Drosophila melanogaster: one gene and its partners. The protein of the gene in region 1 purifies or fractionates together with the protein of each later gene. This does not show direct contact. Each region holds a gene or a part of one and is shown on either strand. Other genes may lie near its edges. The genes, in order: Trxr1, CG4570, CG10638 and CG14715.

What was found.
Region 2: the proteins of Trxr1 (region 1) and CG4570 purify together in Drosophila melanogaster (affinity purification with mass spectrometry, with the first as the bait; one large-scale study listed by BioGRID). This does not show direct contact.
Region 3: the proteins of Trxr1 (region 1) and CG10638 purify together in Drosophila melanogaster (affinity purification with mass spectrometry, with the first as the bait; one large-scale study listed by BioGRID). This does not show direct contact.
Region 4: the proteins of Trxr1 (region 1) and CG14715 purify together in Drosophila melanogaster (affinity purification with mass spectrometry, with the first as the bait; one large-scale study listed by BioGRID). This does not show direct contact.

The regions. Positions count from the first base shown.
Region 1 is NC_004354.4:8,241,625-8,248,554, reverse strand, and holds Trxr1 (thioredoxin reductase 1), read right to left. Parts: upstream 4,974-6,930; 5' UTR 4,827-4,973; coding exon 4,496-4,826; intron 4,367-4,495; exon of another isoform or gene 4,125-4,366; coding exon of another isoform or gene 4,058-4,124; intron 3,168-4,057; exon of another isoform or gene 2,929-3,167; coding exon of another isoform or gene 2,811-2,928; intron 2,462-2,810; coding exon 2,116-2,461; intron 2,046-2,115; coding exon 1,819-2,045; intron 1,748-1,818; coding exon 861-1,747; 3' UTR 522-860; downstream 1-521. Other genes in the region: sni (sniffer), read left to right, coding at 5,479-5,604, 6,299-6,350, 6,412-6,930. UniProt on the Drosophila melanogaster protein: Thioredoxin system is a major player in glutathione metabolism, due to the demonstrated absence of a glutathione reductase.
Region 2 is NT_033777.3:10,855,274-10,858,610, forward strand, and holds CG4570 (uncharacterized protein), read left to right. Parts: upstream 1-1,533; 5' UTR 1,534-1,744; coding exon 1,745-2,572; 3' UTR 2,573-2,793; downstream 2,794-3,337. Other genes in the region: CG4511 (uncharacterized protein), read left to right, coding at 21-494; CG14694 (uncharacterized protein), read right to left, coding at 2,947-3,208, 3,271-3,337.
Region 3 is NT_037436.4:12,497,572-12,502,903, forward strand, and holds CG10638 (uncharacterized protein), read right to left. Parts: upstream 3,741-5,332; 5' UTR 3,666-3,740; coding exon 3,594-3,665; intron 3,472-3,593; coding exon of another isoform or gene 3,304-3,471; intron 3,230-3,303; coding exon of another isoform or gene 3,060-3,229; intron 2,984-3,059; coding exon of another isoform or gene 2,641-2,983; exon of another isoform or gene 2,630-2,640; intron 2,582-2,629; coding exon of another isoform or gene 2,402-2,581; exon of another isoform or gene 2,230-2,401; intron 2,199-2,229; exon of another isoform or gene 2,031-2,198; intron 1,918-2,030; coding exon 1,750-1,917; intron 1,694-1,749; coding exon 1,178-1,693; intron 1,117-1,177; coding exon 919-1,116; 3' UTR 535-918; downstream 1-534. Other genes in the region: CG10681 (uncharacterized protein), read left to right, coding at 4,210-4,376, 4,433-4,904; CG10646 (uncharacterized protein), read right to left, coding at 5,054-5,332.
Region 4 is NT_033777.3:11,672,312-11,675,478, reverse strand, and holds CG14715 (uncharacterized protein), read right to left. Parts: upstream 1,259-3,167; 5' UTR 1,198-1,258; coding exon 1,051-1,197; intron 988-1,050; coding exon 718-987; 3' UTR 556-717; downstream 1-555. Other genes in the region: CG18476 (uncharacterized protein), read left to right, coding at 1-524; CG42327 (uncharacterized protein), read right to left, coding at 2,017-2,251, 2,355-2,902.

The DNA of each region.
Region 1 (6,930 bases):
CGCTTTGTTTCGTGGCATCCAATCGGAGATACCACCTCGAAAGTGTTCCATACATACATATATGATTAATGCTAATTCCTTATAGAAGCTATTGAATTCTCTTTGCTGTTCATTAATTGATTGCATCAATTTACTGTCTTAATTTGATTTTGATTTGCTTGCGAGGATTCCTTAGGTCATAAACTTCAACCTTTTCGTAGCTTCTATTACACTTTATCACGCACTGTTTTTCCTTTGAAAACTAAAGTATAATTTATTACCCACTGATATATGTATCTCCAGGGTGCCATCGTTCGTAGCTGATTTATAGCCCTCGAGGGCAAAGATTCCCCTAGCAATGGCATTAGCAATTAGTCGGGTGGCTAACAAGTTGTCAGGCTGGCAGACAGAATCGATTTAGCCAGGTCAAGTCAAGCCATTTGCATGGCTAATGAACTTACTTGATTGAAAAGGCAGAGGAAGGGCTAAAGGTCGAGGTATGTTTTAAAGGAAATGCACAGAACTGAAACACAGAGGGGTTTGTTGGTGAAAAATTATATTCTTCAACCGTACATTTAGGGGATTTCATAGTTAATTTCATAGGTTCAAACAAATTCAAAATTTTGAGTGCATGTCGGCGGCGCAGCAGTCGTGGGTTGGGCTGGTCGCGCGGGTAGTTCCACTGGTGTCGTTCCACCCGCCATCGCTGCCCAGTGCCCCTCCCTTGCGCAGAGCTATTGTGTTGGGTGTTAATTGTGGAAACGAAACGGAACTATTGAACTCATCGATCGCTGGGCCGCGACAACAACCATTCATCTACGGGATTTCGGGTGGAGCAAGCGGCTTCGACACGTCCCAGGCGGCTGAGCTGCGTTCCCGCTTTAGCTGCAGCAGCTGGCCGGCGTGGGGTCCAGTCCGGAGCGCTTGGTGATGGCCAGCCGGGTGAATTCTTCGGCGGTAGTGGGATGGATGCCCACGGTGTTGATCAGCGTGTTAATAGTCAGGCCAGACTTCAAAGCGGCAGCGAATCCCTGGATAACCTCACCGGCCACCGGGCCAATATAGTGCAGTCCATAGACGCGCTGGTCACCATGGCGCTCGGCCACAGCCTTCAAGTAGCAGTAGCGCACGCTCTTCTGGGGAATGAAGAACTCCGTGGGCTTGTAGTAGCCGTGGAACACCTCGATCTCATCGGCTCCGAACTGCTTGACGGCATCCTCCTCGCTCAGGCCGACGCAGGCGTACTCCAGGGGCGTGAAAACGGTGGTGGCCACATCCTTGTAGTCCATGCGCTGGGTAGATCCTCCGTACAGGCGGCGGGCCAGCAAACGGCCAGCCAAAACGGCGACGGGCGTCAGCTCTGGCTTGCCATAGATGATATCGCCGACAGCGTAGATGTTTGCCACATTGGTAGCCTCCTGGGAGTCCACTGGAATCTTGTCCTTCTGCACAGTCACGCCGGCATTGGGCAGGTTCAGATCGTCCACCAGACCCTTGCGGCCGATGGCCCACAGAACGGTGTCGTAAACATCCTCGGCCTCCTCGCCGGTCTCCACGTTCTTGTACTTCACGAGCAGCTTGCCATCATCCTGCTTTTCCACGGACAGCGGCACCGTCTTGCGGAGGAAGGGAATGCCACGCTCCTCCATCGAGGCTGCCACCAGCTCGGCCATCTGCTGGTCGAAGCCACGCAGCACAATAGAACGCACCATCACAGTGGGCTCGTAGCCGAGACCCTTCAGGAATCCAGCGCACTCCAAGCCAATGTCTGAGTGAAAGAGCAGAAACCGAATGGGTTATTCATCAATTTGATGTAAGCAAATGAAAGTAGCTACTTACAGCCAGCTCCCACCACCAGGGTCTTGCCGGGCTCGCGGTCCAAACTGAACAGATCATCGCTGGTGATGCCATACTCGACAGCACCGGGAATATCCGGATAACGTGGTCGGCCGCCAACGGCAATGACGAAGGTCTGGGCGGTGATTGTGCGCTCGCCGCTCTTCAGCTTGGCCAGCAGTGTGTGCGAGTCCACGAAGGAGCCCAGTCCATTGATGTACTCCACTTTCCTGAGCGCAAATAGAAGGGTATAATTAGTGGGGATGCTCGAGCGGAAGCCATAGATATAGTCACACTTACTTGTCGCGCAGATCCACACGGGTCACCCAGTTGACGGACTTGATGTGGTTCTGTACGGACTGCACCAGCTTGTGCCAGTCTGGCTTGATCTTTTCGTCCACGTTCCAGCCGTAGGCGGCCGCCTCATGGACAGCCTCGCCCAGAAGGGAGGCCTGGTGCATCAGCTTCTTGGGAATGCAGCCCACGTTCACGCAGGTGCCGCCAACGCCCCACTTGGTGCCCAGAGTGGGCGTGGGCTTAACGAAATCCAGACAGGCCACACGGGCTCCATTGAGGACTGCCTCCTTGGCGCAGGCCAGGCCAGCTGAGCCGCCTCCAATCACAATAAGGTCGTAGTCGTAGGATCCTGCAGGAGAAAAAAGGTTTTCGTTTGATTCATCGCCTTTTGTCTATAGAAATATGTAATCTACTGCCAAAATTGGGCTTAAAGAGGTCAAGAGGTCACAGAACATGAGGAGCCGTCAGGAAATCTAATCGTAGCACAGCCAATTCACCTTGTATTATTAAAAACTTATCACCGTTAGTAACATCAATAGCCATGTTGTATTGGCATGGTCTGTTTTTGTTCTTAACCAGTATCTAGATTAGTTGAAAATCCTTATCAGTGATAGGTAATGATATCAATTAGCCATGTGGTGCCAACTACTCAAGTTTCTCTTTAGCTTCACTCATGATTATGGCTAATCCCCGCCTGCCTTTGGTGGACTCCTCGCGCAGTCGTATGTCCAGATAGGCGGATCGGTAGATGCTCCTCCGGTGGCGTGGTTCACCCTCGACCAACTGGGAAGCCGGTATGAATTCGAACAGATGCATCCAGACCAAAGAAGTGCGGAACGAAGACTGTTTGGCCTCCTGCAATCCGTAATCTGCACCGTGCAATCCCGTCGAGCTCCTTGGCTTCAGTTGCCAGGTAGCGATAGTGCTGCCGAATGCCACACATGCCACTGGGTCAGTGGGAGTTCGAATCAAAGTGGAGCAATCATCTAGCGACATCGCCACACACCAAGCCACGCCCATCCCAGCCCGGCCACGCCTTTCTTCCGTCCGTCCACCTACGCCCCCCCATTCGGTTTGCTTTGACCCGCCGGACTTTGTCATGGTTACGCCCCAAAACTAGTTGGCAACACCACACACAATTCGCTTTTATCGGACGGAATGCTAATCCTGGCCAGGAACAGGGGGAAATCAGGTGGCTACGTACGAATGCGAGTGCAAATAAACAATTGTTGTCGTCACACTGCAATTAATTGCGGAATGAAGTGGTGATGACGCAGCTCAGCAATGATGATGAAAGATCAAAGACGATGGCGGGCGCTCGTTGAGCGACGGATACGAGAGATACGAAATAGAAAACACAGATAAAGGGAATAAATGCACCCGACTGATATGGTGAAATCATCATCATCATCATCATAAAGCGATTCTCGAACATTCCGCAAAGGGTTATTCGTTCAAGAGCACCGCATTCGACAAAAATCACACATATCACGTTGGTGCTTTAAGAAATCCTATTATACCCTTAATTACCATTTGAAATCAGAATATGGCATATATTTATAAGTAAATTCTTCTATTGTTTTCGGAATTAGAAGCTTCGTATCTGCTCGATTGGCTAATTATTCATTTAACAAGAAAACTTGATCGTGGCATGTGGGATTTATATTATATTACAAATTAAAACATCAAATACGTTTAACTTCATATAAATAGATATTAGTTTTTTTTTACCAGCTAAAGGCAAAATGGCAATACAAGTGACTTGTATGAATGTAATTTAACAAATATTATTAATTCGTTAAGTCATATGATGTAATTCTTTTTTGAGGCAAATAACTGATATTGTTTAAGCTGCAATTGAGTAATGGTTTTATGAGCAATCCATAATTCAATTAAAAAAATTCGACTGACATAGTATTTATACGCGATTCAGAACTTTGTTGACCATTATACTTAGAGGATGTGCTCTTTTTGGCGCCCACAACGATGGCGCAAATCATGTACTTCAGCATGATACGAGTTTCGAGTGCTGTTCGCGCGACCCCGACTGTACAATTCCAGTTGGAGCGGGTGCGCGATGACGATTGACGATGACGGTGCAAATGTGAGACAGCAAATGCCGGGCAGGCATATAAACCCTTGGCGAATACGTGCCGCAGAAACCCGATAAGCCAGGTAATAAGAGCAGAGTAATGGACTTTTTGGCCAGGCAACTAACGGTTATTGCATAATGGCGTCGGTTAAACACAAGAAGACCCAGAAAAAACAACAAGCAAGAAAACCGCGACAATCGACCGCGTTGCCAACCGGCGGCAACAGGAGCAGCAGCTGCGGCGGCAACAGCAAAGATCTAATCAGAATATCAATCGATATCGATGCTCACCTCCTTTGGTGCTCATCTTTCGCACCGGTTGCGCGTACATGGCCGCCCTGTCGCAATGTGGATGCTGGAAGGGTGGTGGTGCGCCGGCACCGGATCCGGCTGGAGCATTCCCACCGGTAGCTCCAGTACTGTCGCGTGATCCTCGCTGTCCCGTCAAGTTCATAGTTCGCTGAAACGTGTGATGGGCACAGCTGAGACTACTGGAAATCCAATGGGGAACCTTTGTTGTCAGTGAGCCTCTGTTTTGTATAATGCCAGCCGAAGGAGACGTTAAAATCGTCGAGCACTGCCGCACGAACGTAACGGAGAATCTCGAATTGCACAAGTTCATCTTGTTGGCCTTTCCCCTTCTTCAACGTTTGGCGTTTCACTCTACCAGCTGGAGGCGAAACGAAACTATTCGCGAAAAGGGTGCAGAAAAATGACGGCGGAACACACAACACAAACACGTTCGCTGGTTCGGCCGGGAATGCTGCGAAAGCGGTGGGCAGGCAGAGGCGCCGATAAACGGCTACGTAACAGAAGCAGCGAGAAAGAGAGAGGGCGCAAGAGCGCGTACCGCAAAAACGAGAATGTTTGGGATAAAATGGATTTGCCATAAAGGAGCATCCATTGGATTGCGAAATTCCATTTGGGATTTGAACATCACAACAGTTGTTCTGCCCTTTGCCAATTGGAAATGTGCGAAACGCACGTTTGGCAATGCGCAAGTGTATCGATAACTCGCGGATGGTTGGTAACACTGCTGCTGTCCGAACGAAACAGCCGGCCGTCAAAATTTTTCCTAACATTTCACTATTTTCACGCTTGTGTTACGGCAATAAAGTCGATTGATAAGCACGGAAAGATCTGGCTGCGGGTCTGGTGAAATCCACAGAACACACGGAACCCGTATAGTAGTGCCGCCCTTTATTGGTTTTATCTCAAGTACGACGCGATAAGATTTCGAGCAACTCGATCGCGGATCTTCGGAAAAAAAAAACATGAACTCCATCCTGATAACCGGCTGCAATCGAGGATTGGGTCTGGGCCTGGTCAAGGCGCTGCTCAATCTTCCCCAGCCGCCGCAGCATCTATTTACCACCTGCCGGAATCGCGAGCAGGCAAAGGTGAGAGATGTTTTCTTCTTATTTTGCGTTGTCTCTCTACTAAGACAATCCAGTAATCCAACAAAACCGGTGACTCACAACCGTCGAGCTACAGAAACTACAGAAGCTACGCGAACAATCCACAAGAGCCACTATTTCTACAAACCGCTTTTTAATCGTCCAAATGGGCATGCATAAATTGAATGGTTCAATTGGAATCGAATTAACTGTGAAACTCACCTTGCACGGGCGCCATTATTTTGTTGCTTGTTGGTAGGTGCTCCACGTAAATCAGACAGAAAACAAGGATCAACGGCGGGTAGTGAATGTTGTTGTAGTCGAAGCGGAAATGTAAAAACTGCTAAGCGTGTATTGTAGCGGCTCTCGGCACTCGCGAAAGCACGAAACGAATAAGCGGAGCCAACTTTTGCAATAGCTTTTGTACTTTCGTACGAGCGTGCGAAAGGGAGACGTCGATTGGCTTGTCGATTGCTGGGCCGACTATTGTTCGGTCACACCAGCAGCACTTATCGTCTATCGGTTATTATGGCACTAACGCGCTCGTTGGGCGCGCTATTTAAACTCTCATGAAATACCAAATTTGCCTCTAAAAATTACAGTAATTTAACTGGAAAATTATTCATATATAAACTGCTTTTTTACTAATAATGTGCTTCTTATTCAAACATTTTGTCTTTCCCAATTTGGCCCACAGGAGCTGGAGGATCTAGCCAAGAACCACTCGAACATACACATACTTGAGATTGGTAAGCATTATGTTTTACCAGCCGCTAAACACTCTCGCATATAAATATATTTTCCGTGCAGATTTGAGAAATTTCGATGCCTATGACAAGCTAGTCGCCGACATCGAGGGCGTGACCAAGGACCAAGGCCTCAATGTGCTCTTCAACAATGCCGGCATAGCGCCCAAATCGGCCAGGATAACGGCCGTTCGATCGCAGGAGCTGCTCGACACCTTGCAGACCAACACGGTTGTGCCCATCATGCTGGCCAAGGCGTGTCTGCCGCTCCTTAAGAAGGCAGCCAAAGCGAACGAATCCCAGCCGATGGGCGTGGGCCGTGCCGCCATTATTAACATGTCCTCGATCCTTGGCTCCATCCAGGGCAACACGGACGGCGGAATGTACGCCTATCGCACCTCTAAGTCGGCCTTGAATGCGGCCACCAAGTCGTTGAGCGTGGATCTGTATCCGCAACGCATCATGTGCGTCAGTCTGCATCCTGGCTGGGTGAAAACCGACATGGGTGGCTCCAGTGCCCCCTTGGACGTGCCCACCAGCACGGGACAAATTGTGCAGACCATCAGCAAGCTGGGCGAGAAAC
Region 2 (3,337 bases), on another chromosome or scaffold:
AAATTGCTAATCTTTTCCAGGGTCATGGCACCTACACCGAGCTGGCCGACGAAAAAGAGTTCTTCGAGATGTCGAAAAAGTCGCCCAACATTGTTTGCCACTTTTACCGCGACAGCACCGAGCGCTGCAAGATCGTGGACATGCACCTGAAGATCCTCGCGGCCAAGCACGTGGAGGCCAAGTTTTGCAAGGTGAATGCCGAAAAGACTCCATTCCTCACCCAGCGACTGCGCATCAAGGTGATACCCACCATCGCCCTGGTGAAGGACAGCAAGACCAAGGACTTCATTGTCGGATTCACCGATCTGGGCAACTGCGACGACTTCGCCACCGAAATGCTGGAGTGGCGCATCGCCCACTCGGGGGCCATTGACTACAAGGGCGATCTGATGCAGCCACCAGATGTGAAACGCAAACCATTCATCAACCGCCCACAGAAGACAATACGTGGAGGCTACGACTCGGATGACTCCGATATAGATCTGGATGACTAACTACGGGCAGTCCATCCCACACTCTCGATTACCCAAGCTCCAGCTTTCGTTCCACACTCCCACACAAGATACACTCAAAAGCGATGGAGTAACAAAAACGGACACACACAAATCAAAACCTAGCACATGGATCTAAACCAATTAGGCGTACTCTAGCGTTATTTATTTAATTATACGATTCCGATCCCTCTGCTACGGTCCCATCGCCACCTAGTGTAAGTGGCTAATTCGGTTGCCTTCCCCCCCGATTATGTGCTTTAATATCTATCAGTTCAATCAGCTGCCTCGAAGGCTGCGCCACTCTAGCGAGCTTAAGCGAACTCAAAATTTGATCTTTATGGTATTTGCAATTCCAAATGAATGTGCACCCTTTGCGTATATATGTTAAGTTGAGCATAGTTTTACAAACTGCCCTCGCCCTCCAGAAAACGGTGTACGTAAAACAAGAAACTAACATACACAGAGCATAAAAGACAAGAAACTAAATATCTGGCATATATATATTTTTAAAATTTCGATAAAAGGTGTATTGCATTTCCTACAGTAGAGGTAACTAACACTTACATATGTACAAGTTTTTATATTTATTTTTGTAATTCTACAAAGCATCAAAGGAAATCAACGATTAAATAGCATGTTCAAAACAATTGCAAGCGCTTGGTAATTGGTTGTAAACTTAAATGGTTCCCACACAGGTTTTTTGCATTTCAGATCGTACTCTTGGTAATATTTTATTTAAATCATACACGGGAAAGGCAGCTTTTTATTAAAATATGACTTTTTAACAAAAAGACTAGAATTTCTTTAAGAACTTATTATTTTCATCATTTATCGATATTATTAAACCTTACTTGGAAAACACAGAACTGATCATCGGGTTAAATAGTTTTGAATGAAATAATCCTGAAATAATAGGTTTGAACAAACTACGCTGCAGTTAAAGTAATGGTATTTCCCCGAACAGCTGATCATGAGATTCCGAAAATCCTCCCTTAACACAAGGGTTGCCAGTCTTGCCGCAGACGAATAACGGAATGGCCGCCAAAGACAAAAAGGGACGCCAACTGAATTTACCTGTAATGACGCCGTAATCCCGCCAATTGCAGCTTGCTCGCCATAAAACTACGGTCCAGACTATCGTCAAAATCGGTGCAAAAACTTTTACCTGCCAGGTGCATAAAACGCCCATCGAGGATTCGATTTACCATCATTGGTATTGTGAAACTCGAGGTGTACAGAAGTGATTCGAAATGGTTCTCGCTCCCGAAGTTCGAAGTATTGTGAAGGCGCTGAAGGGCTCGAACAGCTGTGAGGAGATAGCCCAGATCCTGGAGTGCGACGTGGAGAGCGTGATAAGCTGCATTCGTGAGTGTGAGCTGCTCGAGGGGAAGACTGCCACGCTGAGGTTGCCGCAAAAACTGAAAACAGCGGCGCCCGTGGCGGTTGCGCAGGAGGAGGAAAAGAAGCGCGATGTTGGCAGACCCAAGGTCCTGGAGAACCGGCAAATTGTCGAGCAAATGCTGAGCGACAATCCGCACTACACCTCCATCGATGTGCAGCGGGAGTTGGCCCGACACGGCATAGAGGTCAGCCGCAGGACCTTGCAGCGCAGGATCAGCGAGATTCGCTCCAAAGGCATACGGCAACCGAGAGGATCGCCACAGCCGAAGGAGCCCAGCACTTTCGGCCTCAGTGAGGGGGCGAAAAAAAGGAGGTTGGCCTGGGCCACCGCCCATCAGGATTGGACCGTGCGCGACTGGCGCAACATCTTCAACATGGACGATCTTAAATTCGTCGACGAATCAACGCCGCCAAAGGAGATCTTCCTTGACTCGCTGATGGGACCGGAGGGCAGTGTCTGCAATGACCTCAATCTCCTCGAGCAATTGATGGCCATCATCCAGCCGAGGATTCAGAATCAGGCGCCCAAAAATGTCAGCGAGTTTCGAGCCGTCTTGTACGACGTCTGGCACAGCGACCAGGACATGGTGGACAAAATTGAGATGCTCTACGAGTCGATGACGTGGCGGGTCTCAGCGGTCCTCCGCAACGGCGGGGATCAGACCGAGTTCTGCTAGCCAAGCTGTGGATTCCAATCGCACCCTGATTCTTGAATGTTGTATTGAAAATAACGACGTTCATGATCTTGTTTAATTTGACATATTATTAAGTTTGTAGTGGCCATATAATGTACATGGTACACTCTGATTAGATTCGCGGCGTAGGATTAAATATCTTCATTTTTTGAAACTATAACTATAAAAAAACATATACATTTTAATAAAGTGTAAAACAATATAATATCAACGATGTTTCAACAGCTTGGGAAATATTTCTTAAAAGTAATAATGTTTCAGAATACAAGCCAATTATTATTTTATTAAACAAACTTTAAATATGTATAACAATTTTATTTGATAAATGAACACTTTTTCATCATTAGAGTATGTTGTTAATTCGCCTCCTGAATTGCTTTTGGTTTCTTCGAAATTGACCATATATATTGCAATATAACAGCAATAGAATAGACTATTCCAATAACTATAAAATAGAATGCGTAGACGGAAAACTGTTGAAAAACATTCAAATTCAGATTGGCCTTTTCCGAGACGACGACAAATGTGAGGATGCACTGCAGGAGGAGTCCCACGAACGTGTTGAAACCAAACACCAGAGCGAAGCTATCCTCCTCCAAGCTGCTGGCCAACTCCGAGCTATAAGGTATTACGAGATTTGGTAAATTTCACCTGTTGGAAAAGGATCAAGAACTGCTTACCTGGCCACTGTTATGGTGAAGGCAAACAGGCCTCCATACAGCACATAGCCAAGATAGGACAGATATA
Region 3 (5,332 bases), on another chromosome or scaffold:
GGCTGGCTCTGACGTCACCCCACAGGCCGAGGTGCTATTTACAAAGGTCTACGGCGGCGCGATTAACCCAAAATGTACCCAACAATCCAAAGATAATTAGCCTGTCGGGCGTAATAGGTACATCAACTAATAGCCATAATACTTTCATGCTTCATTTCTGCGGTTGGCGCAACTAATAGCTTCCGCGTGATATTTTTTGGCCATACATCAGAATAGAAGATCCATTGATAAGAGAATGTTGGCAAACAAAAAATGCGTCCTTAAAATTGATGTAGCAATTTAGGCTAACAGCTGGCAATCAGCACAAGTTCTTCTAAAAGAACGTTTTTTAAATCACATATCCATCTTAAATCCATATGCTTTTTTACGTCTTATTTACTTACTAAACTTTTTTCTATTTTCTATATCTAAAGTTACTGTAGAAAAGCTTGAAGCACCTTCTAAAAATATCACTAGTTCATTAATCAATGTCTAAGCTGAACAACTATTGAAATGATTGAAATAATGCAGGTATACAGTTTTTTCCACATGTAACTTAAATTTGAATCTCCATTGGTGATCTCCAAGTTTGAGCACTTCGCATTACCATTGGTCGTAAAAGCTTAATACTTAATATTTCGGTCTTATTCAAACATTTTCACCTTTTAGCTTGGATGTCAAACGTGCCGTGCCAAAGATCGATGCTTCCATTTGCTCCTCATTTCTGGGAATAAGTTCCACGGTGGGGTGCGGATCGGATCGTTGGCAACTGGACGGATTTCATGGAGAACATCAAGGCACTAAGAGCTTTGTGTTGGATTTGGGTTTGGAATAAGTATGCAGATACATTCGTGCATTCAATTTGTTGTCATAGAGATTGATGTAATGACAAATTTATTACATTATATTCGTGATACAGCAACAAGGCGCTCATCTGGTTTAAAACTCAATTGAAAAGGGGTAGTACTTGTGGTTGAGGCCCTTAATCAAATTTAATGGCACCACCCGTTCGCCAGTGTGATAACCATCGAGAACGGCCATTTCCTCGGCTGTCAGCTCAAAATCGAAGATATCGAAGTTCTCAGAAATTCGGTTAGTATTCGATGACTTTGGAATGGGAATGACACCCAGACCAACCTGCGAAAAGAGAGATTTTAATTAGATGCTGTCGCTGAGGTCAGGTTGATGCCTCAATTACCAGGTAACGCAGCACAATCTGCGGTGTAGTCTTGCCATATTTTTTGGCAATAACAGCCACCTCCGGCGAATAGATAAAGTCCGGCTTCTGAATATCCGGCTTGGGCTTTCCCAAAGGCGTGTAGCCCGTCAAGGTGACGTCGTTCTTCTTGCAGAAGGCTGTCAAAGCCTTCTGGTTGAGCGCAGGCGAGCACTCCACCTGGTTAGTGACGGGTTTGATCTCGCAGTTGGCCAAAACTCGTGCCAGCTGCTCGCTGTTGAAGTTGGATACTCCGATGCTGCGCACCAGGCCCAGTTTTACCAGCTTTTCCATGGCTTTGTACGTATCCAGATAGTCGACATCGCTCAGTTGGAGCACATCGTCCTCATTTTTGGGCAGCAGGGTGTTGTCATCTACATATTTGTAGCCCACTGGCATATGCATCAGATACAGATCGATATAGTCCAAGCCAAAATTGCTTAACTGCTTGCGGCAAATGCCCTCAACGCGCTCTGGATCGTGGAAAATGTTCCAAAGCTGCGCAAAAATATAATCTTATTGATAGATCTAGAACATATCATCATGGCATTTACCTTAGTGACCAAAAATATATCCTCTCGCTTGACCACACCTTCTGCGATCTTGTCCCGAATCGCCTTGCCCACTTCGGCCTCGTTTTGGTAGAAATAGGCCGTATCTATATGACGATAGCCCACATCAATCGCATGTTTCACAGCGGCTTCGCCTTCGTTGTCCTTCGACTGCAAATAGAGAATATCAAATTCATCATTAACCTTTCTCCTTTCTGACAGAATCAAATATGTGTTTTATAATGCGACTCTTGAGATCAGTATATTGTTATTTTCGACCACAGCAACACGTTCGTTTCGGCCAGGAAATTGTGAGCATATCGGAGAGCCGCGAATTGACAAATCGAAACAATATCCGAAATTATACAACTGATCAACGTCGCAAGGCACACGAAAGATTCGATAAACTTTGATAGAGACATTTAGAGAGATACAAATAATTATTTCCCCAGGTGAGCACTTAAAATGTTAATAGGATCATATCTAGCACAAAATATAGTATATTTATATATGATAACGATTGATATGATGACATTTTATAACATTGTAATATTGTACTAAAAAAAAACTAACGTAAAAACTAAACTATCTAACGAGATTCTATCTTATACATTTACATAGTTACACTTTTTTTCCGAACACTAAATATCTCTTGCTAGTACGGATAGTACTGATGATTCTTCGCTTTATCGAATTTCCAGATTCTGCGCCCTGTATTAAAGGTCTTCATTTGGAGCAACTCCTCCGGCGTTAGGTGGAAATCAAATATATCCAGATTCTCTACGAGATGGGCTCGCTGGGCAGCTTTTGGAATAGGTACCGTGCCAATATCGATCTGTAGATTTTTAGCCAATAAATATCTTTATCACTTTACAATTCTAAGGTCGTTTATACCAAGTATCTTAGGATGATTTGAGCTGGTGTCTTGCCGTATTTCGCTGCCAACGCCAGTAGCTTGGAATCAGTGTAGTAATCGGGCAGCGGATTGCAGGCTTTGGGACGCCCCAGTGGCGAATAGGCAACCACGGTGATATTGTGAAATTTACAGAGCTCAATTAATGGGACTTGCACCAATTCCGGATGACATTCTATTTGTAGGTTTGCCGGCTTGATTTGGCAGTTTTCCAGTAATCTCTTCAGCTGATTGGCATTAAAGTTGGACAATCCCAAGCTGCGCACCAGCCCCAGATGCACCAGTTGCTCCATACTTCTGTAGGTGTCCACATAGTCCACATCGCTATAAGTTCCAAAGATCAGTTTCTTTAAGCTTCTTGAATCTAAACTATGTATGTTTAGTTGTATCCCAAACTCACTTGGTCCTCAGCTGGCCATTCTCGTGGGGCATCAGATCTTCATCAGAGATGTAGTCCACGCCCACCGGCGAATGCATCAGATATAGATCTATATAGTCCACGCCCAGTAGCTTTAATTGCATATCACAGGCGTATTTCACCATCTTGGGTTCGTGGTATATGTCCCACAGCTAATTGGATATTGATTTTCGATCTATTTACATGTGCTGGTAACTATATATAACCCATCTGTACTATATCCTACCTTTGTGACCAGAAACACCTGTTCGCGTTTCAGTTTCTGGTCGCCAATAAGTTTAGCTAAAACCTTGCCTATAATGCCTTCATTCCTGTACAGATATGCGGTGTCTATATGCCGATAGCCCATTTCGAGGGCGTGGCACACGGCAGCCTCACAGCGAGACTTCTTTAACTACAGATAACATAATTAACTTTCAATTTCACAATTGCACTTAATTGGAATTGAATGGTAGAAATTTCCATAAACAATTTCTGCCTGCTGATTTATTAGCATCGCCGATGATAAGGACTTACATTGTAGGTTCCTAGGCCCAGAATTGGCATCTCGTAGCCATTGTTTAGCTTAACAGTCGGAGCGAGCTTCATTTTGCACGTTTAAATCAAGAATAAATAAGGAAATTCAATCGCTTAATAAAAAAAAAGCCGGTGAGCATAGTGTGACCAAAACGGCTTTGCGTAAAAATACCCAATGCCATTCTGCTAAGCTTTATTATTTAAATATTTTTAAGTGTTTAAATAGCTAAAGAAACTTTGATTTATATTAAATAGGAACAAATGTTGTCATAAAACAGTGTTAATTTTATGTTAAAAAGTAAAATGTTCAAATTTAATTACGGCAGTGCTTTTGCATTTTGGCAGCTTGCAGCACTGGTTTATAACTAGTACTTAAACAGCTGTTACGAAAATATCTTTTTTTTTAAGAAATCTAAACAAAAGAACTTTTAAAATAGATGGAAACATGAGATCCATTTGAAAACGTAAATAAAAATAGAAAAAACTAAAACTGCCAGCAAACGCACACAAAGCAGAGTTCAAGTTGTCGCAAAGAAACCTTGAGACCTTGAAAAGCAAGTAAACAAATCAATTTTTGTGTTCTCCCTTATTATAAACAAATAAATTCTAGGCTACAATGAGCCACTTGGGCCTTGCGGATGTGCACCAGTCCGAGGATGCCACTCCTGACCTGGAATCCTTCACTGGCTTCGGCAACTCCGCCGCCGAGGCCTTCATTCAAAGTCTCGCAGGAATGGTGAATCAGGGCGATGTGGAGACCATGATACGGGCTCAAAAGCAAATGTAAGCCATTTCATTTAACCAGAGATTATAATAAACATCCAAAATATATCCCACAGGCTGCAACGCTTTGAGAAAACCAACGAGATGCTGCTCAACTGCAATGCCTTATCGCAGAGTCGTTTGAAAAGTGCCAGCGAGGATTTCAAAAGACACGTGAAATGCCTGAGCGAAATGAAGAAGGATCTGGATTACATATTCCGCAAGATACGGATCATCAAGCAGAAGCTACAGTCGCAGTTTCCCGCCATTTACGCCGAAGTTCAGCCGCAGCGTAGCAGTTTGGCTGAGGAAGCCGAGGATGATACGGAAGCCCAGGCTAAAAAGACTGCAGAAACACCTGCTCCTGCTGCCGCAAAACCTGTCCTATCCACCAAGAAAAGTGCCGCCACCATAGAGTACGTGCAGATGGAGGAGGCAGTGGACAATGGCACTGTGGAGATCGAAAACGAGCTGATCAAGCGAGTTTGTTCCGTGGAAACTGCCAATCCCAATGATTCCTCCGACTGCACATCCGAGGATACAGGTTAAGCCTAATTAGCTTTAGTCCCTCGATATATTTATCTTCATATAATAACTTATTGGTTTAATATTTGTATAACCTGCTACTACATACAAGGACACAATTCGTTTAGTTAGATTTAAATGAAATATGCGTAATAATTTAAGAAACTAATGGCTTAAAATATAATCTGGTACTTGTACTGCTTGGGCACCTTTGAGATTATGACGCGACCATCGTAGCTGAGCGAAGCAAAGATCCACGGATCCACATTGCTCCACTCCGCGCAGTAAACGGAGTCCTCGTGCTGATCGAAGGTCTGCAGCAGACCATCTGGCAAGAGTTTGTGCCTCTCCTCGGCATCGGCACCACTGAAGTTGGACTCATCTAGTCCAGCCTGAACCTGCGTCTCCGAACTAACCGATCCCGCACACGTGAGCAGCACCTTGCAGTCACT
Region 4 (3,167 bases), on another chromosome or scaffold:
AGTCGCGCCTGAACAATCATATTCGCGATGTGCACATTAACGGCGACCGCAAGCGCAAGGAGGCAATTAAGCGCTTCCTCTGCTCCCTGTGCGGAATGGAGACGAGATCAGCCGCCGCTCTTGTGACCCATATGCGACGCCACACTGGCGAGAAGCCCTTCAAGTGCGATCTGTGCGAAATGGCCTTTCCCCGCCACTCAGAGCTGGCCTCGCACCGCCGGATGCACACCGGCGAGAAGCCATTCCACTGCACCGTCTGTGGCAAGGACTTTGCCCGCTCCGATAAGCTCAAGCGCCATATGCTTACGCACAGCGGCCTAAAGCCGCACAAATGCACCTACTGCGAGAAGAGTTACCGTCAGGCCAAGGACCTGAAGCTTCATCTCCAGCAGCACACCGGCGAATGTCCTTTCGTGTGCGGCACCTGTGGCGAGCGCTTCATCCAGAGCAGCACGCTGGAGAAGCATCGGTTGATGCGGCGTCACTTCGACGAGGTGGAAGCGTGGCTGAGACGCCAAAAGTAAGGGGCTCTTGCAATAAATACAATTTGGTCTAGTATAAAAGGAATGACATTATTATTTATTGGTCGTGGCGTGGCATCACTTCAGAAACAAGACAAATTACTACTTTAAATATTTGAGCATTAAATGTTTATGACTTTAGTTGAAAGTAAACTTTGGGTGTAGCATGGAATGCCTATTTGTGGCCCTATTCGCTTTACAGCTCTTCAGATCCAGAGCGCGGTTCGATTTTTACCAACTCCGTATCGAAGACGAGCACCGCATTGGGGGGAATCTTTCCGCCACCCGCTCCACTGGCTCCGTATCCCAGCTCAGGCGGAATCGTCAGCTTTCGCTGCTCACCCTCACACATACCAAGGATTCCCTGATCCCAGCCCTTGATCACCTGCCGAGCTCCCAGGGTAAAGGAGAAGGGAGTGCCGCGGGAGTAGCTGCTATCGAACTCTGTTCCATCCTGCAGTGCTCCCTAGAATGATTCCAAATTCGGGGTTAGGTCGGCTAGAGATCTTCCTTATCTGATTTCCCTTACTCTGTAGTGCACGTGGACGAGATCGCCGCCCTTGGCCTTCCGGGTGCAGTTCTCCACCCGCTTCTTAATGCCAATCTTCACTTTCGGATCGCTGGCAGCGGAGGCGGCCACAAAAGCGCAGATTAACAAAATATAAGTTAACTTCATCTTATCGAAAGCCAGTATCAAAAAACACTCGCGGTTTAGTGTGACCAGAGATCTACAATAATTTAACTTGTTCCCACTGCACACATAAAACCAAATAAATATAACAACTCAAATAGTTTTCAACGAAATTAAGAGATTAAAACTTGTTTTTTTTTTTTAACTTTGAAAAAATTAGTAACCAAAAGAAATTTTATGTAAATAAGAGAAAGATCAGAAGTGCAGTAGTATCGGTTCATAGTTAAAACCCAATCAAAAAAGGTCTCACTTAAATGCGAAGCCCGCGAAATTTAAAACTTCAAAAACCACTGCTGGACATATTTTTTCTTGTAATTTACAATAATATGAGTATAGTACAGCTCGGACTTAAAAATAACTTACGTACATTAAAGCTCATTTAAAATAGATACACACATTGTTTGATTACATATTTGACTTTCTTAAAACAAGGAGAGCTCCAAATAATGATCATTTGCTCCGGATTATATGGCCCCGAAGCGCGTGACAGTGCAAAAACAAAAATTGACATTATAAATATGCAACAGATTATCAGGAGATATACGAATGTACGATTATATCACAATAATAAAGGAATACATACAATTTAAATGATATTTAAAGCCCGACATACAACGAAGCCTACGCTTAATTAGGTGCCAACATTCAAGCATAATACTAATTTACACTAATATTTCGTATAAAACATAGCTACTATTATTACAAAGGGTCCCATTGATCAGTGCTGTAAGGGTGAAAGGTGAACTCAATCGCAAATTCGGTTTCCACTCGATGGGCTCTGCCGCTAACACTGCCATCTGGCTTTCAGTTGTCATTGGACAGATTTGTGATCTTGGCCGCATACATGCTGGCCACCTTGTAGATAAATTCATACTGCTCCTTGGTCTGTACGGCGCTGGCACGTCCGCGTCGCACGTAGTAAACCAGTTGGGGGATGTCCACGGACCGCTTCGGTGTTTCCAGACTGCGGATGGCCATGTCCGACGCTATAATGGTACCGGTTCGTCCCGTGCCTGGAGAACAGTGAACGGTTAGCGGTCTGCAGGGGGAGAGATGAAGAAGTTAAGACACAGAACATTAAAAAGCCATGCAACACACAACAACTGCTTTGATATGAATGGATGGAGATTATGTCAACCTACCCCTGCTGACTTCGTGTTCCGCTTCGACTTGAGATGTTTCCATTAATCTCGTGGCTGGACGTGCTGCCCGCCTCGGCTTTGCTGCCGTCCGCATCCATTGACGTCTCCAGGGTCGCGGACTTCTCGCGCAGCTCGTTGGCCTGCTCAAGGGAGTAGGACTTCAGCGAGGATCGCGCTTCCAGCAGCATGGCGATGATGGGCGCCTCCTCGGCCGGTACACCCGCCTCAGGCCATTTGTACCAGTAGTGGGTGAGCTCACGGCTCTCCTCGCCATCCACTCGCTTCAGAACCAATGTGGAAATGGCATAGCGATCCTTGACTTCGCGATGCTTGAGGGTCACCTGGTAATCGCCATAGCTGCTATGATTGTCCAGAGTCGCCGACGGTGGCAGGTACTCGGCGCACCTCTCAATTCCGTTCTCACTGAGATCCGTCGCCTGGATGATCACCCGCGACTGCTGTTCCCAGATCATGCGCCAGAAATCGCTGGTCGTGCTCTCCAGCGGCGCCTGGCAGGCTATGTAGTAGTTGGGTGCATCCCTCGGGCCCTGAAGTGATTAAAAAAGGTATCAAAATGATGTCTTTCCATTGGATAGCATACTAGTATTATTTGAATTTGAAGCTATCTAGCGTTTTTCGGCAAAAAGACGACGCGAGGTTGAGTAATGACATAACCATCAATTAAAACCGATTGCGGCTTAACTCTACCCCTGCCCACACAATGACTGGCGATCAGCTACGCGCGCCTCTCAGATAAACGATACCATAAAATCGCACAACAGACCTCTGCTGCTTGAATCTCGACATGCTTAG